Cricetulus griseus: one gene and its partners. The protein of the gene in region 1 interacts with the protein of each later gene in a pairwise test. Links are inferred from orthologs where the notes say so. Each region holds a gene or a part of one and is shown in the gene's direction. Other genes may lie near its edges. The genes, in order: Pram1, Skap1, Fxr2 and Ccdc57.

The links.
Region 2: the proteins of Pram1 (region 1) and Skap1 interact in binary tests that used the Homo sapiens proteins (3 or more experiments, as listed by UniProt). The two-hybrid records come from large-scale screens. The link is inferred for Cricetulus griseus from reciprocal best matches to the Homo sapiens genes PRAM1 and SKAP1.
Region 3: the proteins of Pram1 (region 1) and Fxr2 interact in binary tests that used the Homo sapiens proteins (3 or more experiments, as listed by UniProt). The two-hybrid records come from large-scale screens. The link is inferred for Cricetulus griseus from reciprocal best matches to the Homo sapiens genes PRAM1 and FXR2.
Region 4: the proteins of Pram1 (region 1) and Ccdc57 interact in binary tests that used the Homo sapiens proteins (3 or more experiments, as listed by UniProt). The two-hybrid records come from large-scale screens. The link is inferred for Cricetulus griseus from reciprocal best matches to the Homo sapiens genes PRAM1 and CCDC57.

Annotation. Positions count from the first base shown.
Region 1 is NC_048598.1:95,322,329-95,330,250, reverse strand, and holds the start of Pram1 (PML-RARA-regulated adapter molecule 1), read left to right. Parts: upstream 1-3,759; coding exon 3,760-5,257; intron 5,258-5,340; coding exon 5,341-5,404; intron 5,405-5,477; coding exon 5,478-5,554; intron 5,555-7,922. UniProt on the Homo sapiens protein: May be involved in myeloid differentiation. May be involved in integrin signaling in neutrophils. Binds to PtdIns(4)P.
Region 2 is NC_048600.1:109,632,828-109,640,681, forward strand, and holds the start of Skap1 (src kinase-associated phosphoprotein 1), read left to right. Parts: upstream 1-3,512; coding exon 3,513-3,567; intron 3,568-7,854. UniProt on the Homo sapiens protein: Positively regulates T-cell receptor signaling by enhancing the MAP kinase pathway. Required for optimal conjugation between T-cells and antigen-presenting cells by promoting the clustering of integrin ITGAL on the surface of T-cells.
Region 3 is NC_048600.1:83,473,759-83,481,461, forward strand, and holds the start of Fxr2 (fragile X mental retardation syndrome-related protein 2), read left to right. Parts: upstream 1-2,916; 5' UTR 2,917-3,272; coding exon 3,273-3,353; intron 3,354-7,703. UniProt on the Homo sapiens protein: mRNA-binding protein that acts as a regulator of mRNAs translation and/or stability, and which is required for adult hippocampal neurogenesis. Specifically binds to AU-rich elements (AREs) in the 3'-UTR of target mRNAs.
Region 4 is NC_048600.1:133,382,911-133,390,138, reverse strand, and holds part of Ccdc57 (coiled-coil domain-containing protein 57), read left to right. Parts: intron 1-2,490; coding exon 2,491-2,592; intron 2,593-2,750; coding exon 2,751-2,908; intron 2,909-3,041; coding exon 3,042-3,116; intron 3,117-4,404; coding exon 4,405-4,605; intron 4,606-7,228. UniProt on the Homo sapiens protein: Pleiotropic regulator of centriole duplication, mitosis, and ciliogenesis. Critical interface between centrosome and microtubule-mediated cellular processes. Centriole duplication protein required for recruitment of CEP63, CEP152, and PLK4 to the centrosome.

The DNA of each region.
Region 1 (7,922 bases):
CTGGCTGTCCTGGGTCCACTCACTTTGTAGATCAGGCTGGCCTCAAACTCAGAGATCCACCTGCCTCTGCCACTCAAGTGCTGGGATTAAAGTCGTGTGCCCCTAAGTGCTGTTTTTTGTGGTTCTGAAAATCAAACTCAAGGCTTTGTGCATGCTATACAAGTACTCTACCAAGAGAATTAAAACCTCAGATTTATTTTAGGCTATTTTGCTTCAAAAGGGTCTCAACTTTATTTTTCGAGACAGAGTCTCACTATGTAGCCTGGCTGCCCCGGAGTCTGTTATATAGATCAGAGCGGCCCTCCCAAGGTCACAGTGCCCTGCTGACAAGGTCTCAACTTTGTAGCCTGAGGCTGGCCATGCACTTAAGGTCCTCTTGCTCTCAGTCTCCAAAGTACTGGGATCACAGATGTGTGCCACCACACCTAGCTAGAACATATACTTTTGGGGGCCAGTTTCTTTAATTTTCTGAATCAGGGTCTATGTAGCTTTGGCTGGCCAGAAACTCTCTAGATTAGCCTTGGATTTGTAGTGAACCCACTATCTCTGCTGGGATTACAAGAATGCACCACTACTCCAGGAGCTTAGAACATGTGCTTTTTTGTGTAACAGTGTGACTCCAAGGATAGCAACCCATACTCACCTGTGCACTGGAGCCACCCTGCCACAATCCAAATAATCCTCCTGCTCAGACCACACCCCAGACTGGTGAAGTCAGCCTCCTGTTAACAGCTCAAGAGATTCTATTCTGTTTCCAAACAGAACCATCTCTGTCATCTGTTGAGTGTTTTGTTCCTGTGGACTGACTCTTGCCTTCAGGGCTCTCTTTTACCTGTGTCTACTTTGGTCCCTCTTTGGACTCTCAAGGGCCATTTCCATTCTTCCGCAACCTAGTCTTCGGATTTCTCCCCTCTCTACTTCCTTTAACTACTGGGAACTTGAGGTATCCTTAAAACCCCCTGCCTCCCCAGGGGCAATGATATTCCCTCGCCTCAGTGGCAAGTCTTTAACACCCCCACACCCCAAATCTGCTATCCCAGTTGAGCCTTATGCTTTGGGTGACCATCTCGCTGGGCTAGTGGGGGGCATTTGTTACCTTAACAGGGAAGTCCTATTGAGAGTACACATGTTGAAACAAGGGAGATGAAGCAACACAGGAGGATAGTTATGTCCTCACCATTGCACCAGCCATATCCTAGCTCTAACTCTTGACAGAAACTTCCTAAGCCCCAGAGCAAACTGTAACATCCACACTCATGTGCTCTGTTCCTGTAGTTGTCCTGAGTTTGGGCTTGGCCTGCTTCTTTGGAGACAAAGCCCATCAAGACCCCATAGTGTTAAGAGTAAAGGGGACAATAGGGGACAAGAGGCTAGTGACAGTTACTGTGTGTATTAAGAGATGTGCTTAGGTCTGTTGACATGAGCTAGCGAACAATAGTAGGCAGGCAGGAACTCAAGGGGAGGGGGGTGACAGGCCATTTCCGCCTCCTTCCTCCTGCCCTCCCCACCCTGACAGCCCCTACTTGGTGTGTCAGTCTGTGGAACAGAAAACCACAGATACTTCCTTCAAGCAGCAGCCTAAGCTCAGAGCCCACTCATCCTGTGGCCCATCACCCGCTGAAGCTATGGTGAGTTAGTCCCCAATCCCCCAGTGGAAGTCCATTCTGGCCAGGAAACAAGGGGCACAGGCGAAAACTGGGGAACTGGTAGATATGCCCCCATGGGTAGCTTGACAGAACAGAATTGGGAACAGTCTTGGGAATGAAATGGTGCAGACAAAGACAGAGAACAGCCAAAGCATAGCTTGAGCTCTTGTGGACCAGCTTGGATCTGTGACTGTAAGAGGAGCAGGTTGGGCTGCCTAGAATGATATCCCCTCACCCCAGGTCAGCATCTGGGATGAGAGCAGAGGCTTCCTGTGCGGTAATTAAGTGGGTCGTGCACCTGGGGCCCCAGCCTCCCAGCCCCAGCCAGTCATCCAAGCTTTGCTTTGCTAACCCTTCCTTATCTATCCCTGTGTTCATTTGGAGTTGTTGCCTCAACTCACTGACTAGGACTTCAATAAAGGCATCTGACTCTAGGCAAGAATTGCTTCCTTCCAGGGGTGCTTCTGAATTCCTTCATCACAAGGTTCTCCCCCCCCCCAATCTTCTTGACCTTAGGTGAAGGCAGGCTGGGAGAGTCCTCAGAAAAGGCCTTGTCTTGTGTATCTACCTATATCTGTAACCCATGGCAAATGGCCAGCTTTGAGAGCACTGGAAGTTATGAGCATGTCATATGGTGTATGTGCTCAAGTGGAGAGACTGCCTGATGGTTCTCATGGGGTGTTGTCCCACCCAGTGTATACCACCATCTTAGACTGAATTGTGTGCCTGTCTTTGTAGTCCTGCATGTATTTTATTGCTGTAAAATTTTCACTGAGTACCTATTATGTGCCAGGCACTGGGAAGTCACTGATGGGCTAGAGGGGCTAAAGTAGACAGCCATGTGTGCATGTGTGTGAAGGCTGGGTCTTCCTTGAAGGCGCACTACCTTCTTTTTTGAGACAAGGTCTCCAACTGCACCTGGAGCTTGTTGACTTAGCTATCCTAGCTGGCCAGCAAGCCCTAGAGGTCCTTCTCTCTGGGCCTCTCCAGAGGTAGGATTATAGGTGCTGCTCTGTACTGATAGAACTCAAGACACTCAGGCTCATATGCCAAGTACTTTGCCTACTGAACAATCTCTCTAGCCTTTCCCAAACAAAATTTTTTTAATTTGTTTTTATTATTTTATGTGCATCAGTGTCTTGCCTGCATGTATGTCTGTGTGAGGGTGTCTGATCTTGAAGATAAAGGCAGTTGTGAGCTGCCATGTGGGTGCTGGGATTTGAACCCAGGTACTCGGAAGAACAGACCGTGCTCTTAAACTGCCCCCCCCCCCATAAAATTTTAACAGTTTAGTCAAACGAGGCATGGTGGCACACACCTGTAATCCCAGCACATGGGAGGTAGAGCCAGGGGGATCAGGAGTTCATTATCCTTAGGTACATAGCAAATTTGAGGCCAGCCTGGGATATATGAGAGCCTGCCTCATATACAGCAGAACCAATATAAGAAATTTGATTAGTGATGGGAGATACAAAGAGAACAGGACAGAGGCTATGAGATGGGGAGGGATGTTGCTGAGTCATTCAGGGACTGTTTGCTTTCCCGGGAGACATGAAAACTCACTGAGAGATTGGGAACTGGAGATTTAGCAGGCCTCCTCTAGGGCAGCAGACCTGGGAGGAGCACATTACAACAGTACTCTGGGCTGTGGGGGGCAGTTCCTCCAACTGAGGCGACAGTGAGTAGTGGCTGAATTCCGGATGTATTTTGAAATTGGAACAAAAAGAACTGGGGAGAACCTGGTGGCCAGGCAGGGGACAAAGAGGGAACCAACAGGGAGCAGAAGGCCCAAAGGTTGAAGAAGATGCTGGGAAGGCATCACTGACTGTAAGTACCACGTGGGGGCTGTGGGCTAGTAGAGGGGCATCGGGAGCTAGGTCCAGTTAGAGATGAGGTTAGACTCAACTTGGAGGAGTCAGGAGGGTGTGGCTTCCAGGAACAGTTCTTACCAAAAAAGAGAAGCTGGCTGAGGTAGTGCTGTGGTTGGGGGAGAAGCAATGGTAGAATTCGAGCTGAAGGGAAGGGGTGATGGGTTTGTGTCTATGACCAACTACCTGTAGGTACCTAGTTGTTTCTCCATCTGCCTTCTCATATGAGACTTTCTGAATGAGCTATGCCTTCCCAGGGAAGCAATCAGGACTTCCGAAACCTCCAAGCTAAGTTCCAGGCCTCTCAGCAAGAACCTGGAGAACCATCCAGAAAACCCCCAAAGCCTGAGTTCAACAAACTCCTAAAGAAGTTTCCACAGACTGAATTAAGTGAGCAGCCCAAGAAGGCCTCACAGACTGAGTTTGGGATAGTGTCCTTGAAACCCCTGCAGATGCAGTTTGCAGAACTCCCCAAGAAGCCCTCGCAGTCAGAGGTTCTCAGAAAGTCACCGCAGCCTGAGTTCACTGAGCTACCCAAGAAGTCCCTACAGTCCGAGCTCAAAGATCTCCCAAGAAAGCCTCTACATCTGGAGTTCACTGGTCTCAAAAAGCCCTCACAGACGCAGTTCACAGCTTCCAAGAAGCCTCCAGAGCCCCAATTTGCCAGCCCCCCCAAGGCCCCACAGCCTGAGTTCATTAATCTCCCCAAGATGCTTCCCAAACATGAGTTTGGTGAGCTCACCAAGAAGTCTCCACCGCTTGAGGCACCTCAGGAGCCTATTGTACCTGCCCAGAAGCCCCGGAAGCCTGAGTTCAGCAATCCTGCCAAGCCCCCAGTAGAGCTCAAACCTATCACAGTCCCCAAAAAGTTCTGGCAGCAAGAGTCCAGTGAGGCCCCTCTGAAGCCCTTGCCACCTGAGTCCAGTACTTTTCCCAAAAAGTCACTGCAGCCTCAGGCTGCTGGTTTCTCTAGGAAGTCCCTGACACAGTCAGAACCCAGTGAAATTCCTCAGACATCCCTCTCCAAGCCTGGGTCCAGTGAGTTTTACCCTCGCTCCCCACAGCCTGATGTCAGCAACTTTCCCAAGAAGTCCCTGCAGTCTGAATTCAGTGATAAGATTCCATATCCTCAGGCCATTGGTTGCCCAAAGTCTCCACAGCAGTCCATGTCCTATGAGGTCCCCCAGACACCACCTTGGAAGCCTGAGTCATGTAACCCCCCATCTCACTCCCCGAAGCCAGACTTCCATGTATTTCCCAAGAAGCATCCACAGCTCCAGGTAAGTGACCTTACCAGGACATCTTCGGAGCCCGAAGTCCACAGAGTTCCCAAGAAGCCTCAGCAGCCAGACCTCCAAGCCCTCTCTAAGAAGCCCTCGCAGCCAGAACTGGGTCATCTCCCTAGAACATCCTCGGAGCCTGAGTTCGGCTTGCTCCCCAGGAAGTCTCTGCAGCCTGACTTTGCCAAGGCTCTGCCCAGAAAGCCCAAGCTTCCAGGTTCAGTATCCGAGTGCTCCCTGCCCTCTGCCTTTGCCAGCTCCAGCCCCCAGTTCTCCCTCAGCCCTGGGTATGGAGTCCCTGGGACACCCGGCTGGAGATCAGAAGACTTCCAAATTCGGCACCCGCCCCGGAGGCGACCTCTGCCTTCAGTCAGCAGCTTGGGATCCCCCCCAGCCAAGCCCCCATTACCACCCGTCCCCATCAATATCCAAAGCTTCCGGAGAGCCTCAGCAACAGCTACAGGTGAGTTAGGGTAAGTGGTTCAGGCAGAGGAGGGTAAAATATCTGGGCAAAGCCACTTCCCTCCCATGTTCTCTCCTCCACAGCTGTACTGAAGAGCGGCTCTTCTGGGACCCACTTCCCAGCCCAACAACTTCAACATATCTCACAGTGAGTGTGGGGAGAAAGGGGCCAGGCATGGGTGCAAGGCTAAAGGAGGCCCTCATCTCAGGTATCCCTGCAGGAACCCGGACGAGATCTATGAGCTCTATGATGCTGTGGAGGCCACAGGTGACTCTAGTCTCAGCCCCAGAGGCAGAGGTTTATAAATGGTCTAGGTGGTTGGCTTGGGCACCCATTCAATATTAGTTGCAAAGGCATTCTCTCAAGATCCAGGTTTAAGACAACAAAGTGACCCAGACCAGACTGGATCCAGGTGGGCCAGATAGTGAGAAAGGGGAAGCCCAGACACCCAACCAGCCAGGCTGACAATAGGCATAAGTATTGTTAAGTGAGGTGACAAAAGGCCTGGACAGCAATAGAAGGACTGTCCTTCTGCTTTGCAGAAATCAAAAAGGGCAAACCAGACTAGGTGGCATATCAAGCAGGGAACGAGTCAGATTGTGGCATGGCATCAGGTTCCAAAGCTGGGCAAGGTTAATTATAATACTGTAACTCTAGCATTTGGGAGGCAGGATCATCAGCTTTGGCTACTCAGCAATCAAGACCGGCCTGGACCACATGAGACCTTGCAAACAAAACCAAAGCAACCCCCACCCACCAGGTTCCTTTCAGCCCATCCCACGAAGATGTCCCAAGAAGATGTACGCCTGGAATCAGGAGAGAGGTGTGGGCTGGAGGCAGTGCAGCAGAAGGTTCTTTTCCTGTCTTCTAAGTCAATTTCCTGAGGGGCTCCAGGACTGGTGTCTCCATAACAACATGAAAGAGCTTTGATGATTCTGCAGCGGCAGCCAAGACAGTTACCCCATTACCAACAAGGAAGTTTAAGGATCTGAGACTGGGCCCAGCCAGTCTAGAGCTGTGGTGATTCCAACTGAGCCCTTCCTCTCCTAGCTATTCCCTGTCTTACTAGGGTTCCTAGGAGGGACTTTTAGCTTTGGGATATGCTTGCTCCCAGCTGGAGGTCCTGGTACAAAGCTAGATGCCTTCAAATTCTCCAACCTTTGCTCCTTTCTGGGCCTTTTGTTTGCTTCTCCTGGTCTATTCCAAGAGGGCCCCTAGTGCTTCTGTTGAAGGGATGCTCTATGGTTTGGGGAGTGGGGGGTTGTAAGCTTTGCTGAGAGGCTGGTCAGAGCTCTGGCCAGTTGCTAGGGTTAGAACCTTTAGAATTTAATAGACCATTTCCCACCACCCCCATACACTGCTTCAGTAACCACCTCTCTATCTTTACCCACAATTCTTCAAGCATGATCAAATACCAGACCCATCTGAGTTTCTCCTTTCAGTGCAATGGGTGAGCCTTCCTGTGGGCATAGCCTCTCAAAAGGCTGCTTTGTGCATTTCTGAGTCATCTTTCTAGTACAGTACTAGAGTGGCCTGGGACCACCAGCTCCTCCCTCTTATCCTTGGGCTCCTTTGGAACATGGCAGCTCCCCTACATCTTTTTTCAGCTGGGAACTCACCTGGAGGGTGGGGTCCAGTCTTTCCAGGATTGTGTGTAGACCAACATGAAAGAAAGATTATCATTGGCCTGTTCAGAACAAGCTGCAGGATGATCTCAGAACCACAGGGCTCAGTACTGTCACCAGTCAAGTTTGCTTCCAGCTGTGACAGCACTCAAGGCTGAGGCAAATCATGAGAAAAGCAGGTGCAGTGCAAGTTCTGGGTAGGACCCAGATCTCTGCCTAGAGAGCAGAGACCAGATAGAGTATGACAGGCACCCCTCTGTGGGCTGCTCATCAGAAAGGACAGTTGGTCCAAAGTGACATTTGAGTCATTAACAAAATGGGGCTTCTGATTCAGGCCCTCACTAACCTGCATCTTTAAGAGGCTGTCACCCTCAGCAACAGTTGGAAGCCTGGCCTACTGCTAGGAAGTGGTACAAGTCAACCTGCTGAGAAACCATACCAGTCAGTCTTGGCAGCTGAAGGTTCAGGCTAAGAAACCCTACATGGCCAGGTGGTGATGGTACGACTTTAATCCCAGCACTGTGGAGGCAGAGGCAGGTGGATCTGAGTTCAGTGCCAGCCTGGTCTATAGAGTGAATTCCAGGACAGTCAGGGCTTCATGGAAAAACCCTTCTTCAAAAAACCAACCAACCAAAGAACCCCACCCTGGTTGCTCCTCTTTAGAGGCAAGCTCTGGATGCTATAAGGGAATGCTTGCTTTTAGCTCTGAATCCCAAGTCTTACTACAACTCCCAACATATTCTGGGAGGCAAGCAAAATGGTTCCCAAAGTCTACAGCTTGTGGGCTGGTCATAGTGACCACAGCTTTAACCCTAACACTCAGGGATAGATAGATCTGAGTTTCAGGCCAGCCTGGTCTATACAATGAGACCAAAAACCAAGGCCTACAAATCCATCCCATCTTTACAATTTCACTAGCTGGGTAGCCTTGTACAGTTGACCAACTTCCCATCCTGTACTTTCCTCACCGAAATGAACCTTATTCACAAGAACTGATGAACCCTGAGAGAAAGGTATAGGAGAAAAGTGGTTGAGATTCA
Region 2 (7,854 bases), on another chromosome or scaffold:
GGAGTGTGGACAGAGAGGACAAGGATACAGCACATTCCATACAGGACTGGTGGGGGTGTTCTTCTGTGTATATATTTCTCTTATTGGTTGATGAATAAAGCACTGTTTGATCAATAGAGGCAGGAAGATAGGCGAGGCTAGGAAATGAGAATTCCAGGAAAGGTAGGCAGAGAGGGACTTCGAGGGAACTCTATGAAGACCACAAAGGAGTAACAGGTCTGGGCATTCTCTGGTAAGCCAAGACCACATGGAAATACATAGATTAATAGAAGTGGGTTAATAATTAAGACAGAGCTAGCCAATAAGCCCTAGTCATTGGCCAACAGTTTTATAATTAATATTGTGTGTTTATTTGGGGCTAAAGCGGCAACGGGACCTGGCTGGAAAGAAAACTCCAGCAACACAGGACCCACGAGAAAATACTAAAATTAAAGAAGAAATACCCTGTTCATGAAATATAACTTCTATTTCTTTTGAAATAGGGCCACGTATAAACCAGACTGACCCCCGCTATATAGTTGAGGCTGGCCTTGGACCCCTCATCCTCCTGTCTCTACCCCTTAAGTTCTGAGATTAAAGGAATGTACCACCACTGCCAGCTTATTTTTATTTTATTTTAACAAATCTAAATAGCCACACATAGTTAGTGGCTACTATGTTAGAAAGCACAGCTTAAATATCTGAGATGAGACAAAGAGTCCAAGAAAGAAGCTCATGATACAAAAAGTAAGCAATCAACAAGGGTGACTGGAAAAATGTTATTATAGATATGATTTTGAAATGTCATATAAATGCACACATGTCAAGTTCTTGAAACATAATGTACATAATAAAACATTGATTATTTTCTTGGCTAGAAATCTTCACATTGACAGAAAGAACCAAAAGACACCAGCTCATTAATATTTGTTAACTTGAGGGACAGGATTACATTCTTTTTTAAATCATAAGGGTAAAGCAGACTACGGACAAAATGCTAAAATGTGTAACTTCTAAGCCCGTTGAAGGCAGGGGAGCAGTATTTAATAATTGTCTTAGGCCGTTTGGGCTGCTCTAACAAAACAGTTTATAAGCCACAAATATTCATTTATGCTATAAACAGTTTGTAAGCAGCAAATATTTATTTTTCATAGTTTTCCAGACTAGGGAGTTAAGACCAAAACACTTTCAGATTTGATGTCTGGTGAGGACCTGCTTGACTTTTTAGAGATGACACTTTCTGTGCCCTTGCGTGGTAAAAGGGGCAAGTAGTGACCCTAGGGCCTCTTTTTATTAGAGCTCTGACTTCCATCAGGACAGTCAATAACCTTCCAAAAGTCCCACCTTTTAATACTACCACATTGGTGGCTGTGTTTCAGCATGTGGATTTGGGGGAGACACAGGCATTCAAACAGTAGTGGTGTCCTAAGCAAATGCTCACAGACAACAGCAAGTAAAAAACTAGAAGTAGAAATACAGTAGACAAAACTGTCCACACAGTGTGCCCTGACTAATAAAATATCTATGGGCAATAAGGAAGAAAAGGTGTGGAGATGTATTGATAAAAGGAAGAGCCTGGGAAGGGTCAGGTATTAATGGCAGAAATCAGCAGAGGGTTGTTGAAGTAAAACAGGGATTAACTCAATGTAACCAGAGAAGCTGGGCATTTCTGTGGTCTTGCCTGGCTAGGACAGTCATTTATGCTTAAATGGTATATGCAGATAATTTGGGGGTTCTTCTTAGAGCAAAAGAAACCTGGAGTACTAGCCAGTAAGTCCATGGAATTAATTCAATTAATTAGTTAAAATTAACATTTTTGACCTATCTTAATCCTTTTTACCCACAGACCAAAACAAACACCTCAACTGTTTTCTTGGGTGCAATGCCAGTTACAGGCAGAAATGTATCCATTATTCTTCTCAGAAATGCGAGTTCTGCTTTAGCGGTTCAAATTCTTTCACACAATATCCCCTCTAGGAACACTTTTATTGGTATTTGGTTGGTGGAATTGTTTTCAGCAGCACTGGGTCATTCATCTTGCCTCCAAATAAAAGGTTGATTGAAGCAAACTTTTGAGTTTTAGAAACATATATCAACAAAGAACATTTGCAACTGTTAGCGGCACTGACTGAAGTATTTTCCCCCCAGAGTGTCAGGAGTGTTTTTGAGAAAACAGGAAGAAGCCACATTTATCTTTCAGTCGTTAGGAAAAAAAAAATGTGACCCTTAAGATGTTATTCTTCTCCAAATAAACAAAATAGTGACTTTGTAAAGGGACAAGGTCAGAGAATTTGGGGAAAATATCAGACACTCTTACTAGCCTTGAACCAGGAGGTCTGGGCCCCTCCTGGCAGGCAGCCTTAGCGCATTAGTGGGTATTTGCTGGGACATGATGACCGTATTGTGCCTCCAGTGTGGTACATGCCTTCTACTCCCTTGTCCCAGTCCTTTATTTATTTATTTTTTTCTTTCCTGTTCTGACTTCCTTGCACAGATGTCTGAAACCTGAGGGCGTTTTCCTTTTAGGGCAGGTGTGAATTTTAATGTCTTTGCCAAAGCTGTGTTTACCTTTTAAATATGAGATTTAAAGCAATCGTGTGTTACTGTAGTGCACCATACTATGTGTTTATGAGTGTGCCTTCTAGATGAACATTGCCGCCTTTCTTTCCCCTCCTGACCTTGTTTAGCTCTTCAAGTTTAAATCTCTTCATTCTCTGTAACTCACCTCTGTCCCTGACCTCCAGAGACATTTGTGAATGTCACTCCTACGCTCCGCACTTCCCTTTTTGGTAGCTCCTGTCATAATTCTAGTTGTGCATTTGACTGTCTGTCCTTTGCTCGTGTGTGTCCTGCTCGTTTTCCCGGTGCCCATTGAATACGTGATGAAGAATAGAGGCATTTGTGTGTGTCATTGTTTATGGCAGGTGGCTGGCATCTTTTCCTATGAGGACTTGAGTGTCACATGGTATTGCTCACTCTCTAGCTGAAGGCAACTGTTGGGCAGACCCCATGAGTGCCTCATCCTCCTTATTGACACTGGATATTGCAGTTGCAGAGACCCCAAGGCATCTCGATCTGGCAGCTTTTTAAAGAAATTGAGTGCCAAATGTCAAATCCAGGAGCTTGCATATACACCAGGCAAGCTCCAGTCCCCACAAAGAGCTCTTGTTAGCAAATCTGTTATCTACTTAATGGGAAAACCTACTAGCAGAATGGTGACTAGAGAGAGGTGGGGCATTGCAGGACAGCTTGAGATCTCTTTCCTATCTGGCATCTTCGAGACGGCTTGCCCAGGCCCCTTGGGTTCTCACCGTGAGAAGCTCCACCTTCTCAATCAAAGAGTGAAGTAGTTTCTCTAATTTCTTTCCTTAGTGTTTTCATATCAGGATTTTGCTGGAGGCTGAACGCAATATCAAAAACACAAGCCTGCATGTAGCCCTTCCTTCTGACTTCTTGTTTTCTTGGCTCTATATTTCACCTAGAAAGCTTGTGGGTGTATCTGTAGAGTGCATTCTAAATAAACAATGAGATCAATGGCAGAGGTCATCATTGTGTCTTTTTACTTCTCCAAGAAGATGCTGATTGCAGGTAAAGAAACAAACACTTCACTCCTGAAGTATCTAAGGAAAGGCTTTCTCATAATTAATCGGAAGGAAAACTAAAACAGGACAAGTTTTAAGAAAAGAATCAACTCATCCTTAGCAGCCTCGACAGGGCCGTAATTATAACCCATTGGTACATTTCCGCATATGGAGTAGGCAGGTATTTTACTTACAAGAACTTAGTAAGGACCAATATCAACTTTACCTCAGTAAAACTGGGTGGAGGAAGAATTTAGTAGGTAAATTCAATGATTTCGTGTGTGCGTGTGTGTGTGTGTGTGTGTGTGTGTGTGTGTGTGTGTGTGTGTATGTGTGTGTGTGTGTGTGTGTGTGTGCACAAGTTCATATCCATGTGTGTTCTACAAGAAGAAAGTGAACAGTTTGACTTACCACATCACATAAGATTTCTTTATCATCACCATCATCATCATCATATACTACAGGAGACTGAACCCAGGCCTGAGCAAGGTAGGTAATACCCTATCACTGAGTAATATCTCCAGTGCCTTTTGTATTTTTATTTTGAGAAAGTGCATCACTGAATTGCTAAGGCTGGCCTTCCACTTTCCATCCTCCTGCCCCAGCTTCCTGAGTAGCTAGGATCATGGGCTTGTGCCATAGGACCCAAACATAGCATCATCTTTGCTGCCCACTTCCTGTACCTGCCCATTGGAACCCTACCCTGTTAAGGACTATGTGAAAGCCAGTCAGGTCCTCTACCACTGAATGAATCCAGGGTGGGGAATGGAAAGTAAAGGGTCTCTAAACCGTGAGTATCTCAGGGTTTACACTGATTTTTATTGTACTATTTTTTTCTATTCTGAAACATACAACTTAGAAATAGACACACATCTAGAAATACAAATAAGATGGTAAGAATAGCTGCCGTTCCACCACCTGGTAGTGACCTCTGCTGAAGTTCTGATGCTCATCACAGTGCCCAACCGGAGTGTGGCAGTGACTCTAAAATGAATGCACCGAGCCCTATATTTTAACTTTCTAGTTAGTTTGTGTGTGTGTGTGTGTGTGTGTGTGTGTGTGTGTGTGTGTGTGTGTAACTTTCAGGACTTGATTTTCTCCTTCCACCATAAGGGACACAGGAATTGCACTCCTGTGTTCAGTCTTGGAAGCTAGCGTTTTTTACCCATCTTGCTAAATAATCAGATTTAGCGCATTCAGATTACATGGTTTACAGCTTTTACTAATTGAATTTTTGTGGAAAGTTTAGGTTTACATGAATATTAAACAGGTGATGCCAAGTTCCCTTAACCCTTCTCTTTCCTCCACTTTCTCTTAATTAGAACATTTTACGTCTGTGTGGTGTTGCATTAGTCAGGGTCCTCTGGAGGAACTGAACTGATAGAATGGATCTATTTACATGAAACGGAATTAATTTACTAGAATGGTTTACACGCTGTGGTCTGGTTGGTCCAACAGTGCACTTTGCCAACAGAAGGGCCAAGAATCCAGTAGTTTTTCAGTCCATGAAACTAGACATCTCAGCTGGTCTCTGGTCTGTGTTGAAATACTGAAGACGGGGGTTCTAATAACAGCAAAGGAACCTCTCAGCTGCCACATAGCTGAACTTGATGGTGGGAGAGAGGGCAAGCAGGCAAAATGAAAAGCTTCCTCCTTCCGTGGCCTCTTATGTGGGCGGCTACCGGCACGTGTGGCCCAGATTTAGGGTGGGTCTTCTGACCTCAAATGAGCCTGATTTAGGGTGGGTCTTCTGACCTCAAATGATGAGATGAAGACAATCCCTCACAGGCATGCCCGACTGCTTGGGTTTTAGTTGATTCCAGATGTAGTCAAGCTGACAGCCAAGATTAGCCATGACAGGTGCTTTGGTTATGTCTAACGTACCAGCATCATCACATACCTAAAACCCACAGTTCATTCAGTTTTCCTGATTTTACTTAATGCCCTTTTTCCATCTCAGGATCCTATCCAGGATACAGTCAGGTCTTCTTGGGTGCCTCACAGCTGTGACTGTCTCCCACACTCCCTTTGTTTTTAATGAGTGTAACCTTTTGAGGAGTGCTGGTCAGGTAAATGTCAGAATGACCCTGTATTAGAATGTGTCTAGCATTCTTCTCAGGTTTAGACTGGGTTACAGGCTTAAGGGAGGAAGATCACAAAAGTATCATTTTCACCACATTGCATCAAGGGTCCACACTGTCGGTGTGATTTATGATGGTTGATGTTGAACCATGAACACCTGGCTGGTGTCAAGTTTCTCCTCTGTGGAGTTGCTCTATTTCCCCTTTCCTTTCTGCAGTCTTTTGGAAGAAAGTGGCTGTGTACAGCCCATACCCAAGGATTGGGAGGTATGTTTCCTTTATCTTGGAGTAAAATATCTACATAAATTATTTTGAATTCTACACTATAGATCTGTCTTTTACTTCCCATTTGTTAATTTACTTAATTACTTATATTACTTATGAACTTAAGAGTATTTATTTATAATTTGGGTTATAATTCAAGATTATTTTGTTGTTGTTCAGATGTTTTTTTTTTTTTTGTCAAGGTCTTACCTTGTATCCTTGTCTGACTTGAGTTCTATCTCTAGTATAAGTGTGAGCATGCACTACACACACAAACACATAGACAGACACACCCACAGAGACACACACACACACACACACACACACACACACACACACACACACAGATGTGGACCCAGACACACACACAAACACACACGGACACACACACAGACTTGCACAGGCAGACACAGACACCCTCCCACCCCCCACCCCGCCACACACACAGCACCATGGATGGTCATTTTACTGACTCCTCATTTCCGAGTCTACTTATGTCAACACCTTTCCTTCCAGTGAAGCTATTCCATCCATCTGTAGGATGGTTATGTCATGACAGTCTACATTTGAGATCTTCCAACCTAATTGAGAAATGCCTCTATAAAATCCAGCTGTGGGTCATTTTCTTTCTTCTGTTTTTGTTGTTTGTTTTTGTTTTTGTTTTTTCGAGACAGGGTTTCCCTGTAGCATTGGAGCCTGTCCTGGAACTTGCTTTGTAGACCAGGCTGGCCTCGAACTAACAGAGATCCATCTGCCTCTGCCTCCCTAGTGCTGGGATTAAAGGCATGCACCACAACCGCCCGGCTACAGACAGGTGATTAATCAGCTTTGGGATCACACGTATTGTGTTACAAGCGTTGCTGTACCCAGGTTTTACTTGGGTAGCAGAATTTGAAATCAGGTCCTTGTGTTTGAACAGAAAGCATTTTACCTACCTAGCCATCACTCCAGTCTCTCTTTTAAATTTTTAATCAAGACTTAATAGAGCTAGAGATATGGGAACAACAGAACACTTGCCTAGAACACACAAGTTCCCAGGTTCATCAGCACTGACAAGAGGGAGAGAGCAATGGGACATATTGTTCTATAAAAAGGTCAGTTGGCTTCAAGTACTTGGAAGCTCAGTTACTGGGTTCATATTCTTTTGTAATTGTTATGTCTCCCAGTGATGTGGCCCTTTTGTCATTTTGAAATAACCTTCTTTATCTCTGGTATTTTCCCCTGCCTTGAAGAATACTTTGCCTGACATCACTGCGGCAGTTCTGACTTCCCTAGTCTTTCTGTCTGTCTTGCTGATTGTTTCCCATTCTTTTACTTCCAGCCTTCCTGTGTTTTAATATTAAAGTGTATTTCTTGTAGACAACATATAATTCAGTCTACAGGTTTTAGTATAATATCTTTATTCATTCCTTGAGAATCTCATGCATTCATGCAATGTATTTTGATCATATTCACTGCCTTCCTCCCCCTCCAACCTCTCTCATATCCCAGCTACATCCGGTTCAACGTCATGTCCTCTCAACCCACCAAGTCCAGTTTGTCCTACTCAGACACTCATGGTATGGGACATCCCCTGGATCTTGGTGAATCTACCAGGGGGACCATACCATACCCCTAATTGACTCTCCCTCCCCAAGAAACCATCAGCTTATGTTAGGCGCTGGTCTGCCCCTCCCTACCCATGCTGGAATATTGACTGTCTTGGTCAATTGACTGTTGTAAGCTCCTAGGGCAAAGGGTCTTGTCATGTTCAGAGGACTGTTTCACCCTGTGACACTTGCAGTCTTTTTGTCCTCTGCTCCACAATGTTTTCTGAGCATCAAGGAGAGGGCAGTATGCTTCAAACGTCTATTTTATTCTTGAGCCCTCCACAGACACCTGTTCTCTGTACTATGACTGGTTGTAAGTCTCTGCATTAGCTGCTGTTGTCCATACCAAAAAGCTTCTCT
Region 3 (7,703 bases), on another chromosome or scaffold:
AACCATTCTTTTGTTCCTATGTCATACACATGTCCATAGGTGTATAAATGCTGTTGAATCTAGTAGAGTCTAGAGAAAAAAATACGATCCTGTGTTTCATTCATTACCTCCTTCCTCCTCCCCCTAGAATCCATGCTTCCCCTTTCATTGTGTGTATAGATACATCTTTAAATATATGTTCTGTATGTGAGGGGAAATGTGTAATGTTCGTCTTTTTTTTCAGTGCTAGGGATTGCGCCTAGGGTCTGACATCTGTCAAGGCAAGTGTGCTACTACTGAACTAAATACATAGACCTCTTTTAGTCTTGAGTTAGGGTCTCATTAAGTTGCCCAGGCTGGCCTCGATTTCACACCATAACCTGGACTCCACAAAGTTGTCCTCCCACACATGTACACCATGAACACATATACATACAATAATAATAATAAATACATGAAATATAGATGATCTGTCCTCTGATAAGAGTTATCATTTCTATTTATTTAATTGGTTTATAGTCTTAGTGTGTCTGGGCCTGGCTTGGAACTTGTAAATCTTTGCCTTACAAATTTTAGAATTACAGAAAAGATCTACCATGCTTAACTGGACATTTTATTTTTTAGTTTTTCAAAACAGGGTTTCTCTGCACAGCTCTAGCTGTCCTGGAACTCAATCTGTAGACCACGTTGGGCCCAAACTCAGAGATCTACCTGCCTTTTCCTTTTTTTGATGGTATTAGATGCAATGCCATTGCCACCACTACCACTGGCTTAATAGGACACTTTATTTTTTTTTAAAGATTTATTTATTATGTATACAGTGTTCTGCCTGCATGTATGCCTGTACATCAGAATAGGGCACCATATCTCATTACAGATGCTTGTGAGCCACCATGTGGTTGCTGGGAACTGAACTCGGGTCCTCTGAAAGAGCAGCCAGTGCTCTTAGCCTCTGAGCCATCTCTCCAGCCCATTAATAGGACACTTTAAAAACATTCATTTTTGTATGTGTGTGGCCATGCCCTTAAAAAGCATGCTTATGGAGGTCAGAAGACACCTCCAGGACTCTATTTAGCCCTTCCGCGTGTTCTGTGGACATCACTAGTCTCAGTGACAAACACTCTTACTTGCTGAGCCATCCTGCAAGCCTCTAATAGGGCTTTTTTTTTTTTTAGAAAAAAAAACTTATATTTTTTAAAGATTTTATTTATTTATTTATTTATTATGTATACAGTCTTCTGCCTGCATGCCAGCAGAGGGTACCAGATCTCATTCAAGGTGTTTGTGAGCCACCAAGTGGTTGCTGGGAATTGAACTCAGGACCTCTGGAAGAGCAGTCAGTGCTCTTAACCTTTGAGCCATCTCTCGAGCCCAGAAAGAAAAAAAAAAAAACTTTTATGTATGAGTATTTTGTCTCCATGTATGTATGTGAGCCACATGTGTGCCTGGTGCCTACAGAGGTCATAATGAGTGTCCAGTCTCCTAGAACTAGAATTACAGAGAACCGGGGTTCAATTCCCAGCACCCACGTGGCAGCTCACAACTGTCTGTAATTCCAGTTCCAGAGGACCTCACACCCATGGCAAAATACAAATGCATATAAAATAAAAATTAATAAAATTTAAAAAAAGAATTACAAGTGTTTGTGAGCTGCTATGTGGGTACCAAGAACCAAACTCAGGTCCTCTGGAAGAGCAGCAAGTGTTCTTGACCACTGAGCCATCTCTCTAGCTTCTTTTAGTAGGGTATTTATTTATTTTCTAGACAGGTTTTCTCTGTGTGGCTTTGGAGCCTGTCCTGAAACTAGCTCTTGTAGACCAGGCTGGTCTTAAACTCACAGAGATCCTCCTGTCTCTGCCTCCCAAGTGCTGGGATTAAAGGCGTGCACCATTGCCGGGCTAGTAGGGGTTTTTGGATTAATTACAATTTTTTTTTAAGCCGGAAAGTGGTGGCCCACTACAGAGCGAGTTCCAGGACAGCCAAGGCTACACAGAGAAGTCCTGAGGGTGAACATGAGTGATGTCACACATGTGATGGTCAGAAGACAACTTGCTGGAGGTGGGGGTAGCTCCAGGAATTGACCCCAGTCGTTAGGCTTTATAGTTGAGCATCTTCAAGGACCGATTTTGTTTTGTTTTGTTTGAGAATTTTTCCTGTCTTGAATTTCCTTAGCATTTATGTATCAAATCATGTTGCATTTTCTTTTCGATATGGGCTTGAATTTACTAGAATCAACTTAAGGCAAGCAGGGCAATGACAGGCATTTCTGTAATTTTTGCACTTGGGAGGTATCAGGAATTCAAGGTCACTCCCCAACTGCTTAGTGAGTTCGTGGTCAGCCTAGGATACAGGAGACCCAGTCTCACCAAACTTAAGAAAATCCACTCCAGCCAAGAACCGTGACTCTTGAATCTCCTACAGATGCAGAGAGTCAACACATGCGCATGGACACCAAAACCCGGGGCGCGTGCGCACCGGACACTTTTTGCCTTCGGGCTCCCCCCCACCCCTGCCCGCACTTTGGAGTGTGCGCACCAAGAAAGACAAAGGTGGTGAAAGTGACCAAGCAGTCATTCCGGCGCATGCCCATCCCTAAATTGCTCCGGCTCTGTGGGGCTCACTTGGTGGAGGCGGAAGTCCAATCCGACGGAGCGGGCGCGGCCCCTCCCTTCTCGTGATTGGTTTGCTCACAGTGTTGTGGGGCGGGGAAAGGAAGGGACAGGGATAGTGGAAGGCTGGGGAGCTGGAGATAGAGCGTTCATCTGGTTCTGCGCAAGCGCAGAGGAGCGACCAGGAGGGGGCGTGAGAGAGTAGAAGAGAATGTGGAAGCCCTGACGCGCTGGCGAGCCGGAGCTGGGTCGCTAGCCTGGACGCCTGCGCCTTGGCCCTCGGGCTCCGCGCGCGGCGGGCGGGTGCCCTGTGCGCCTGCGCAGTAGGCGGCGGCGGCGGCGGCAGGGGAGGTGGAGGCCGTGGAGCGGCAGCGGCAGCAGCGGGTCCCGGACTGAGGCAGCAGCGGGGGGCGCCGGCGGGCGGAAGCTGAGGTGACGAAGGCGACGGCGGCGGCCGTTTCTCTCACGGTGGCGGAGACCAAGGCAGTGGCGGACGGGGAGCGGCCCGGCCCCGGCCCCCTGCTCGTCGGCTGTAGCAGGGCCGCCGTGGGGCCGGCCCGACTCCCGCCCCCCGCGGCTCCCCCTCCAGCTCCTCCTCCTGGGAGACGCCGGGGGCCCGGCCCGGCCCGCACTCAGAGCTCTGCCTCCGCTGCTGCCGCGGCAGTCGGAGGTGGTGGCGGCGCCATGGGCGGCCTGGCCTCTGGGGGGGATGTGGAGCCGGGACTGCCCGTCGAGGTGCGGGGCTCCAACGGGGCCTTCTACAAGGTGAGACGGTGCGTCGACCCGGGACACCCTCCTTAGCCCCCTCCCCCAGCCGGAGCAGGGAAGAGTGGAGCGGGCTCGAGTTTCTGGAGCTCGGTCCTGACCCTTAGAACCTCGACCCACGCTCCCACTCGACACCCTCTCGGGGAGACCGTGGGAGTTAACCCTCGTGCTTTTTTCTTTTTGAGCCCGCTGTTACACCTGCTTTCATCCTCAGCTGAAAGCATGAACATCAGGTCATTACTGCGCGTGGATGGGCGCTCCTGGTCCCTCCGGAGAAACCCCTTTACTCAGCTTCTAATTGACTTTTCTTGTTTCTTAGTGGAGGAGCTACTTCAGCTCCTAATCACATCCTTTCCACGGCACAAGCACATGGGAGAGTCTTTCTTTTCCTACATAACCCTCTTGGGAAGGCCCACTGTCCCATATTAGGTCTTCGGTCTTCAGGGAGGTTTCTGCCTACTGGCTCTAAACCATTTACTCAACTTTCATCTTATATTGTAGGTCTCCATCTAAGAAGAAATGATCAAAACCCACGTGTGTTATTTAGCATCTTTGGCCTCAGGCTTTATCAGCCATAAAAGTGGTCTTGTTGGACAAGTCTGTCACCCCACCACACCTTTATCCCGAAACCAGCTACCCAGAGATGGATTCGTGTTTCTCTCTTAGACTACAGCTACATTTAGGTCATTCCTGTGTTTTCTTAAGTTTAGGCTTCCTTAAAAGGGTGTCTCAGCAAGCTTCTTTTCTGTCCTTATTCTAACAGATTTCTACTTGTTGACAGTCTTTTCTGGAAAGAGAAAGTATCTTTCAGAATTGCTAATTTCAGCATTTCTTTGCCCAAGATTTGATTCCTTTGAAGTGTTTTGGGGGGTGGGGTTGTAACATGTCCTAGCCCAGGCTAAACTCCTACCTCAGCCTTTCAAATTCTGTGACTATATTACAGCCTCGATCTATCAGACCAGACCGGCCTTTTGTTTTTTCCTTCTTTCTATTCATACATCCATCCGACTCTCTGCATCTGGGCTCCCCCTCCCCTCCAGTTTAGATTAAGAGTGACTCTTCTTGCTCCACAACTGTTTTCCTTTATCTGGTAGGTGGAATTCTGAACCTCTTTTGAGGTTTTTTGTTTTTGTTTTTTGTACCCCAAGACAGGGTTTCTCTGTGTAACCTTGGCTGTCCTGTGCTCTGTAGACCAGGCTGGCCTCAAGCTCATAGCCTCTGCCCCCAGCACCGCCCAACTGTTGACTTTTATGTGTGGAATTGTCCTAGAAACTTTTGATCCACCCCTTACTCTTTACTCTGAAGAGGGATTTTCATAGCATCAGGTAAGTTAGAGGAGCTGCCTCACTTGAGTTCTCAGGTCCATTCCCCTTCCCCAGGAGACCTTTCTGCTTTCTCATGCCCTTGGAAACTACTTTCTCTGACTACTATGAAATTGTATCTTTTGTAGCTGAAGAAGGACTTGTGCTTGCCCTTGTAGATGGTTTCTGCCCCCACTTGACTGATAAGTTGGATTTTACTCACTATAAATGCCATGCCAGTTTTGCCTGCCTTTTCTGATTAAGTTCTTTACCCTTTATTCAGTGCATATGGGTGTACATATCTATTAGTCTCAGCGTATCCTCTCAATTAAATCTTGGGCTGTTCATCTTGATATATATATTTAATTTTATGTACAATGGTGTATTGCTTGCATGTATGTCTGTGTGAGGGTGTCAGATCCCCTGGAACTGCAGTTACAGACAGTTGTGAGCTGTCATGTGGGTGCTGGGAATTGAATCAGGGTCTTCTGGAAGAGCAGCCAGTGCTCTTACTGTGGAGCCATCTCTCCAGCCCTTAACTTGATGTTTCTGTATTCCTGTGTAATCTTCACTGATGTCCATCTATTCTTTGTATAGCTGAAGAAAGCTCCCAGCTGATCTCTGACACTATCACTTTCCTTGCTAACTCTTGGTACTTTTTCTTCTGACTGGAAGAATATCTTGATAACATTTGTTTTCTGTGGCAAAAGTCTCAAATTCCTATCAGGTTCTGTAGGACACACACACACACTTTTTTTTTTTTTTTTTTTTTGCGACCGGGTTTCTCTGTGTAGCCCTGGCTTTCCTGGAACTCATTGTGTAGATGTAGACTGGGCTGGCCTACACTCACTGGGATGGTTCAGCTTCTGTTGACTAGGGGATTAAAAGCATCCACAACCACGCCCAATTTGGAAAATGATTGTTAAATTGAGTATGAGATCAAGATAAGATACTTTTGTTCTAGAAAGCATGGGAGCCTTGCACAGCTGAGAAGGATTAGTGCTGAGTTCAAATTAACTGTATGAAATGGTTGGGAAGGGTGTGTTTTCTGTTACATATGTGAGTATCCAGTATCAAACAGATAGTCTCTGGATTTTTTTCATTTTTACCTGTGGGCCATAGCAGTGACAGATTTGAGTGAAGGGGGCCAGATTCTCTGATACAGAGTTAACAGTATCTATTAGTATTTATTTAAGCCTAGCAATTTAAATCCTGTGTTCTAACCACTTTAGCAATTTCTGTCCCATGACTGAGTTAAAACAGTTCCTTACAATTGGACTAATCTTTCTTAAACTCATATGGGTTTTTGTTTTGTTTTCTGAGACAGGGTTTTTCTGTGTAGCCCTGGCTGTCCTGGAACTCACTCTGTAGACCAGGCTGGCCTTGAATTCAGAGATCTCCCTGCCTCTGGAGTGCTGGGATTAAAGGCGAGTACCACCACCGTCTGGCACTTTCCTAAACTCAGTAAATTGAGATTGCTTATCTATTCCAACCTTGCTGATTAATATTCATGACTCAGCAAACTTTGGTGTGAGTAAAGGAGTGTTAACCTGTCTTTTATATCTGTAAATTTGAGGAGATTCTTTTTGCCTCTCTCAAAATTGTGTTTTATTGATTTTTTTTTTTTCCAGGGCAGATACCAGGTCTAAGATCTGAGTTATTTTATAAGTATCCTATCAAGCTCTCCTTTTTTGTTTTAAGGTCTCAGGTGATTCGGTCTGGCTTTTAGCTGAGGATGACCTTGAACTCCTGGTCTTACTGCCTCCAATTCCCAAGTATACACACCACCAACCCCAACTTCATAATTTTTTTTAAAAATACTTTTGTTCTCCCCCTGAAATAATTTATTTATTTTTATTTGCATTGGTGTTTACCTTCTTGTATGCCTGTGTGGGGGTGCCAGATCCATGGACCTGGAGTTACAGACAGTTGTGGGTTGCCATGTGGGTGCTGGGAATTAAACCGAGGTACTCTAGAAGAGCAGCCAGTGGTTTTAACTCTGAGCCATCTCTCCAGCCCCCATAATGGGTTTTGTTTGTTTTGTCTTTTTTACTATTTTGTTTTTGTTTTTCAAGATGGGGTTTCTCTGTGTAGCTCTGGGTGTTTTGGAACTTTGTGCTGTGGATGTGGCTGGGCTGGAACTCAGACCCACCTGCCTCTGCCTCTAGTGCTGGCATTAAAGGCGTGTGCCACCACCAACTGGCCAGCATTCTCCCCCCTCCACCCCAGACAGGGTTTCTCTGTATAGCTTTGGAGCCTATCCTGGCACTCACTCTGGAGACCAGGCTGGCCTTGAACTCACAGAGATCCGCCTGCCTCTGCCTCCTGAGTGCTGGGATTAAAGGTGTGTGCCTGGCCAGCATTCTTTCTTAATGGGACATTATCAGCTAGAAAACATGTTTTTTGTCTTGGCTCCTTTGTCCTAGAATTCCTTTTCTTCTGAGGGGTGAAGATGGAGACTAATTTCATATCTTTTTATTTAAGGAAAGTAAAGTGTCTAGAAACTTAAGAGCTTTCTTTCTTTCTTTCTTTTTTTGTTTTTTTTTTTTTCGAGACAGGGTTTCTCTGTGGCTTTGGAGGCTATCCTAGAACTAGCTCTGGAGACCAGGCTGGTCTCAAACTCACAGAGATCCACCTGCCTCTGCCTCCCGAGTGCTGGCGTGCGCCACCAACCCCCGGCTAGAAACTTAAGAGCTTTCTAACAGATTTTATGGTATGTACTTGCCTGTTTCTCCAGTGGCATAGACCAAACAGAACTTAGGAGTTCCTTTTTCATCATGTTCTCCAGAGAAAACCTTGTCTCTGAAGTGAATGGGTAGAACTAAGAGGCAGAGGTAGAGCTGGAATATGATGTTGGAAAGAGCGTGTATTCTGGAAAATAGTTGGAGGGAAAAAGATGCTGGAGGTAATAAAAGGGTAAGTGGCATTGCGTTACGCTGCAGAAGGATGGTTCTACTCTGAGCTTAGCATATTACCTTGGAAGTCATCATTTGTTGAAAAAAAATAAATGGTCATTACTACTTACTTAATAAGTCTACATTCACCCTAG
Region 4 (7,228 bases), on another chromosome or scaffold:
TTTATTTTAAACTATTTCTTGGCTGACAAGATGGCTCAGTGAGTAAAGGCTCTTGCTGCCAAGCCTGCCAACCTGATTCCAATCCCCAGAACTCACATGGTAGAAGTAGAAAACCAGCTACAGCAATTTGTCCCCTGACCTCTCCACAACTGTGCACATGTGCACACACACACACATGCAGATGGTTACGTGCAAGAAGATAAAATAATTCTTTTGGAGCCAGGCATGGTGGTGCACACCTTTAACCTCAGCACTTGAGAGGCACAGGCAGGTAGATCTCTGATTCCTAGGACAGGCGGTCTAAATAGCAAGTTACTTGGGGCTAGAGAGATAGCCCAGCAATTAAGAGCTCTGGCTGCTCTTCCAGAGGAGCTGGGTTCAATTCTCAGTACTCACGTGGTAACTAACAACTGTCAGTAACTCCAATTCCAGGGGAGCTGATGCAAACAAGCCCAGAGACAAATGCAGTGTACATGTTGCTGGCAAAACACTCATACACATTAAATTTTTTAATTACATAGTAAGTTCCAGGCCAGGCAATGCTAGATACCAAGACCCTGTCAAAAACTAAGACAAACAAAGCTTTAGTTTACATTTAATTTGACCATTTATTAACAATGAAAGCTAATTTGCACACTAATGAAATGGATGTGCTTGCTTATTTTCACATAGACAGTTAAATCTTGGCTGACTGACACGCAGAACATGAAGCATCTTCAAGTTTGTTCAAAGCTGGTTGATATTTCAACATCAATGATGAGAAGGCTGCTTTACATAAATATAGTACAAAATGACAGAAGTTTGTTCAGAGCCCTTTCATAAATGTTGTCTTTGGTCTAGAGAGATGACTCTCTAGAGTTTAGAGCAGAAGACCCAGGTTCAATTCCCAGCATCCATGTGGCAGCTCACAACCAACTATAACTGCAGTTCCAGGGAATATGATGCTCTCTTTTGGCCTCCAGGGACACCAGGCACACTTGTGGTACCCAGACATACAGGCAAAACAGACATACATGCAAGCAAAATATTCATATATGTAATATTATAAATATATATAAAGTAAATAAATATAAATACATCTAAAATTATTTTTTAGATTTTTTGCCCTAATCACAAACCAAATTCATTAAATTTTTATGTATGTATGTATGTATGTGAGAGAGAGAGAGAGAGAAGACTTGTATGTATGTACACAGGTAACTTAGAAGCCATAAGAGTGTGTTGGATCTCCTGGAGCTGGATATACAGGCTGTTGTGAACTACCAGTGCTGATGCTGAGAACTGAACCTGGATCCTCTGTAAAAACAAGCATTCTTAACTTCTGAACCATCTTTCTTAGTCCCCATTAATTTTTTAATTACATTTTATTTGGACTGTATATGGGCATGTATATAGAGATCAGAGGATAACTTGTAGGATTTTCTCATTCAGGTTCCAAGGATCTCACTCACATTTTCAGATTGAGGGTAGGTGACTTTACTTATGGACCCATCTTGCCAATGTAATAATTTTTTAAAAAGAAACATAAGTGATCCATCAGACAGTAATTTTTTTTGAGACAGGGTTTCTCTGTGTAACCTTGGCTGTCCTGGAACTCACTCTGCAGGTGGCCCTCGAACCCAGAGATCCTCCTGCCTCAGCCTCCCAAGTGCTAGGACTAAAGGCATGTGCCACCACTGCCTGGCATCAGACAGCAATTTTTTTGTTTTGTTTTGTTTTTCGAGACAGGGTTTCTCTGTATTGCTTTGGAGGCTGTCCTAGAACTTGCTCTGTAGACCAGGCTGGCCTCTAACTCACAGAGATCTGCCTGCCTCTGCCTCCTAAGTGCTGGGACTAAAGGCATGCGCCACCACCATCCGGCCAGACAGCAATTTTTAAAATTAAACGTTCTAACATAATAAAAGACAAAGATCTATAAAGATACATATTAAAGAATGATGGTAGGAAAATATTAAGTCTTTGTTTTCCTTAGGTAACTACTATGTGTGTAGAACAGAAAACTTTGTATGTACTATAAAAAACGTCACAATTCACTGGGCGATGGTGGTGCACACTTTTTTTTTTTAAGATTTTATTTATTTATTTATTTATTATGTATACAACATGCTGCTTCCATGTATATCTGCACACCAGAAGAGGGCGCCAGATCTCATAAAGATGGTTGTGAGCCACCATGTGGTTGCTGGGAATTGAACTCAGGACCTCTGGAAGAGCAGTCAGTGCTCTTAACCTCTGAGCCATCTCTCCAGCCCGGTGGCACACACCTTTAATCCCAGCACTTGGGAGGCAGAGGCGGGAGGATCTCTGTGAGTTCAAGGTCAGCCAGTCTACAGAGAGAGTGCCAGGACAGCCAGGGCTGTTACACAGAGGAACCCTGTCTCAAAAAAGCAAAAACAAACAAAAAATTACAATTCATGATGGACAGTGGTCTCAAGCCTGAGCCAAGATGTTTGAGGTAGCTGTTCTTCACTCCTGACTCTCTTGTTCCAGGAGCTGCTGCAGGAGTTCGAATCTGAAATTCAGAGAAAGGATCATGAGTTCCAACTGAGGGCTGATGATATGAGCAACGTAGTCTTGACCCATGAGCTCAAGGTAACTGTCCCTGCTGGGCTTTGCAGGCTTTCTGGCCTCCAGATTCCCGCTGTAATCACCCCGTGCTCACTGTTGCCCGCTGTAATCTCCCCCTGCGTGCTGCCAAGCACATTATTCTTCCCACCCAGCTACTCTCCTGGACCTTTTCAATCTCTCAGGTAAAACTGCTAAACAAAGAGCTGCAGGCTCTCAGAGAAGCTGGAGCACAGGCAACAGAGAGTCTGCAGAAGGCAAAAGCAGAGCACATCCAGTTGCAGAGGAAGCTACAGGACCATGCCCTGGAGCTCCAGAGTCTGGAGGCTGTAAAGGATGCTCGGTACGTGGGTTCTCCCCTACAGGCGCTGTGGCCGTCAGGACTAGATCCTGGTGACTCTGCCTTCCTAGCTTATTCCAGCTCTACTCTTTGGTCTCTTAGGTAACTGCTCCTTACTGATATGGTTTTTATTTAGGATAAAAGACTTGGAGAAGAAGCTTCAGTCTGTACAGCTGGCTAGGAAGAGAGCCGAGGAGACCTTCAGGAGGAAGTGAGTATTTGTGCCTGGGTGGATGTCTCTGGAAGAGTCTGGGTCATAGTCGCTGGAGACAAGGGCCCTATGATGGTAGCCTGTGCTCACACACCACTTTGCCTCCAAAATCTACTTCCTCAGAGATGGTTAGACCTTCAACATCTCAAAACTCAAAATGCTTCGAGGGCCAGGACCTCAGTTCGTTGGTAAAACACAAGCTTAGTGTGCCCAAAACTGTGGATTTACTCTCCAGTGCCAAAACAGGCTTTTAAAAAGCACAGCCTTAAAAGTTAGCTTTTATGGGTTAGTGAGATTGCTCTGTGCATAAAGTCACTTGCTACCACAGTGGGTGACCTGAGTTCCCTCTCTGGAACCCCACATGGTTAAAGATGAGAAGGGACTCCACACACATGCCCACCACTAAATAAATCAATACTTAAAAAATTAAAAGTTGACATTTGCAACTTGGATGTTTTATTGACTATAAGTTTTAGATTGTAGTCCCAAACTTTACCATGTTGACACAGTCACCTCTTATTCTCAAGGATGTGGATTCTCTGAGCTCTTTTCCTGCTGACCAGGGTAGGTTGGGACTCAGCCAACAGCAGCAGGTGTTTCACATTGCCAGGTGTCTGGGACACCCAGGAAGTAGATGGCGTGTTGGCTCAAGGTGGGAACTTCAACGGGGCAATTGACGCATTGCCCCTCCCCCAGGCTCCAGTGGGTTTAGGAGGTGCCAGAGCAGCAGAGTGGGGTCGGGGATGACGTGCTCCCAGACAGAAGAAGCTCAGCTCTAGGGTTTCAGCCCCCAGGGTTGACTTTCCCTTCGAAAGGAAACACAGTAACTAAGCTCCTGCTCGCTTAGGCGGCTTGGGAGGATGCTGTGTTGTAGGAGAGAGGATGAGGTGGGGACAAATTCTCTTGGGTTTTCTCACATTGTGATTTGTGCAGTTCAGACAAACGGATAAATTCAGGGAATTTTCAGGAATCTGCTGCTCTGGGAGGCAAGGAGTATCTGTACTCTCCATGGCTGGTCACGAGGCTAGGTGGTGTGTCAAGGGTGCTTTGTGAAGCAGTTCTGGTGTCTGTCTTGTGAGTTGGGGGGGGGCATCCAGGAGCCTGGCATCTAAGAATAGCTGCTTATACAGGAAGAACAAGCTCACCCATATGCTACGTCTGCAAAACTGAGAATAGGTAGGTGCTGCCTGCCGAGTCACCCATCTTGTCAGGGGTACTGTAGTGTAAGAAAGGATGACAAACAGAGCACTGAGTAAGCCATGGTGTGGGACTCTTCCCTGTGTTTCAGGAATGAAGAGCTTGACCGTCAGGCCAGGGAGAAAGACACATTGCTGGCAGCCGTGAAGGGCTCCCATGCAAAGCAGCTGCATGAGCTGGAGGCCAAGATGCTGGAGCTCCAAGCCCACTGTGAAACCCTTGAGGGCCAACTGCGCAAAGCCGAGTGGATTCGAGCTGATGATGCCAAGGAAAAGAATGCTCTCATTGACAAGTGAGCCAGCCATTGCCTCTGACCTGCCCTGCCCAACAGCCCTGTGTGCCTGTGCCCTGGGAAACTGCATGCAGCAGGTGGGAGGGGCTTTCGGGACTTTCCGGCCATTTTCTTTTCTAGCCATTTCTCTTATGTTTTCTTTTTAATTGTGTAGTTGTGGTAAAATATGCATAACAAAGTTTACTTACTATTTTTAGTTTTTGTTTTTCTAAGACAAGGTCTCATTTGGCCAAAGGTGGTCCAGAACTTCTCCATAGCCTTAGATGCCCTTGAGTTTATAACCCTGTGCCTCTACCTCCCAAGTGCTGGGACTGCAAGCATATGCCACTATACCTGGCCCTTTTAACCCCCTTAGACAGGGTTTCGATGTGTAGCCCAGGCTGCCCTCTAACTTATCTTCCTGCCTCACTTCCCAAGTGCTGGGGTTATAGGTGTGTGCCACCATGCCTGGCAAAGTTCACCACTCGGCTGTTTTTAGTGTAAAGGTCAGCGGCGTCAGTACATGATGAATGCCGTCGATTGGTAGACTCTCTCTCTCTCTCTCTCTCTCTCTCTCTCTGTTCCCACTCAGCACTGGCTCCCCTTCCTTCCCCCAGTCTTCTCCCTGCAGCCTCCAAACCACTTTCTCTGTGAATTTGCTAAGTCCAGGAACAGCGCACATTTATAATCTTATGGCACTTGCCCTAATATAACTGGCTTGTCACTGTCACAAAGACTCGAGTCCTCAAGGTTCACTCACATTTATAGACTGCTATTCTCTTAAATCATTGTGATTGTGTCAAAATACACATCTCCAGATGCCCTGGAGGACTCATTGGCCTCAAATGGTTATTGAGCCGCAGGTCCCAGCGTTGACATCTGGCCTATCATGCATATGCCCCACACACAAAACTTCCCCGTTCACACTCCTGCACTGACACACGAAAATGCCATGCATAACACAAGTTAACTATTTTAACGTGGCTGTTGAGTCAGTTTCTTCCTTTTAAGGCTGAAGGATACTCCCAATGCAAATAGGCTGCATTCTGTTTACCCACTCTGCACATATGGGTTGTTTTCACCGTGACCCCACAAGCAATGCTGTTGTAAGCTCAGATGTGCAGATCTCTCTTAGAGACTTTGCTTTCAAGTCTTTTGTGGATATGAACAGAATTGGAATTTCAGGACCATACAGCTCTGGGTCTAACGTTTTGTTTGTTTTTTTTTAAGACATCCTCCCTCTGTAGCCTTGGCTGGCCTGGAAGCCTTTATTCTTTTACCTCAGCCTAGTCAGTGCTGGAATTACAGATGTGCTCCAGTGCACCGGCTCCTTTCCAATGTCTAATGCAGGCCAGAGTGTTTGGGCAACCTGCTCCACTTATGCCTAGTGTCAGGAAACCGTGAGTGCTGGAGAACTGTTGTAATAGCACTGGGCGTTAGCACTGAGCCCCCATCCTGGGTGGTGAGGAAATGATCATGGGGACAGGACACTGTGTTCAGTAGAAACACTAAAGTCATGCCATTTGCTAATATTCCTAGACTTAGCAACTGGATATTTTGGGGATGGGTCTCTCTCTCTCTCTCTCTCTCTCTCTCTCTCTCTCTCTCTCTCTCTTTCTCTCTTTCTCCACAAATCACTGTCAAATTACATTTCTATCAGGGGAAGAAGTAGTCATAGAATTATGAGGTATCAAGAATTTTTTTGTTGTTTTTGTTTGTTTGTTTGTTTTTCGAGACAGGGTTTCTCTGTATTGTTTTGGAGCCTGTCCTGGAACTCACTCTGTAGATCAGGCTGGCCTCAAACTCACAGAGATCTGCCTGCCTCTGTCTCCCAAGTGCTGGGATTAAAGTGTGACATCAACGCTGGGCAAAGTATCAGGAAATTAAAGCTTATTCTGCATGGACTAGAGAGATGTCTCAGTGGTTAAGAGTGCTGACTGCTCCTCCAGGGGATCCAAGTTCAATCCTCAGCACTCACATGCAGACAAAATCCCCATATACATAAAGAAAAAAATAAAAAGTTTTAAATTGGCTGAGTGACGATGAATCTCTATGAGTTTGAGGCCAGCCTGGTCTACAGAGTGAGTTCCAGGACAGCCAGGGCTACATAGAGAAACCCTGTCTTGAAAAACCACATCAACAAAAAAATAAATTGTACTTTAAAATGCTTGTTCCACATTGCTTTGTTAAGTCTAGCATGCTCTTGTTAGCACAGTCTTGTTTGATCAGTGAGGCAGCCCACCTCAGTGAGCCAGCAATGCTCCAGGCGTGCTCTGGGTGCTGTGGGGGAGTGCCAGTTCATTGCTGAGTTTCCATTCCCTATCAGCATAGTTGCAGGGATGAGACCTCACAGAGCCTGGATGCTTCCTGCCTCCTCTTGAAGGCTTAAACTAAATGTTTTTGTTTTGGTTTTGAGAGAGGGTCTTGCTCTATATAGTCCTGGCTAGCTTAGAACTCATAATCCTCCTGCCTTAGCCTTCCAAGTGCTGGAATTACAATATGCCACACCCAGGTATAACTAGTTTTTAGTTTCTATCTCTAAGTATTTTTTGTTTATTAAGGCTTATTACTCCCCAGGCAGGGCATTATTATGACAATAGAAAACAGGACAGGGTGACATGTGCCTGTAATCTCAGAACTCTAA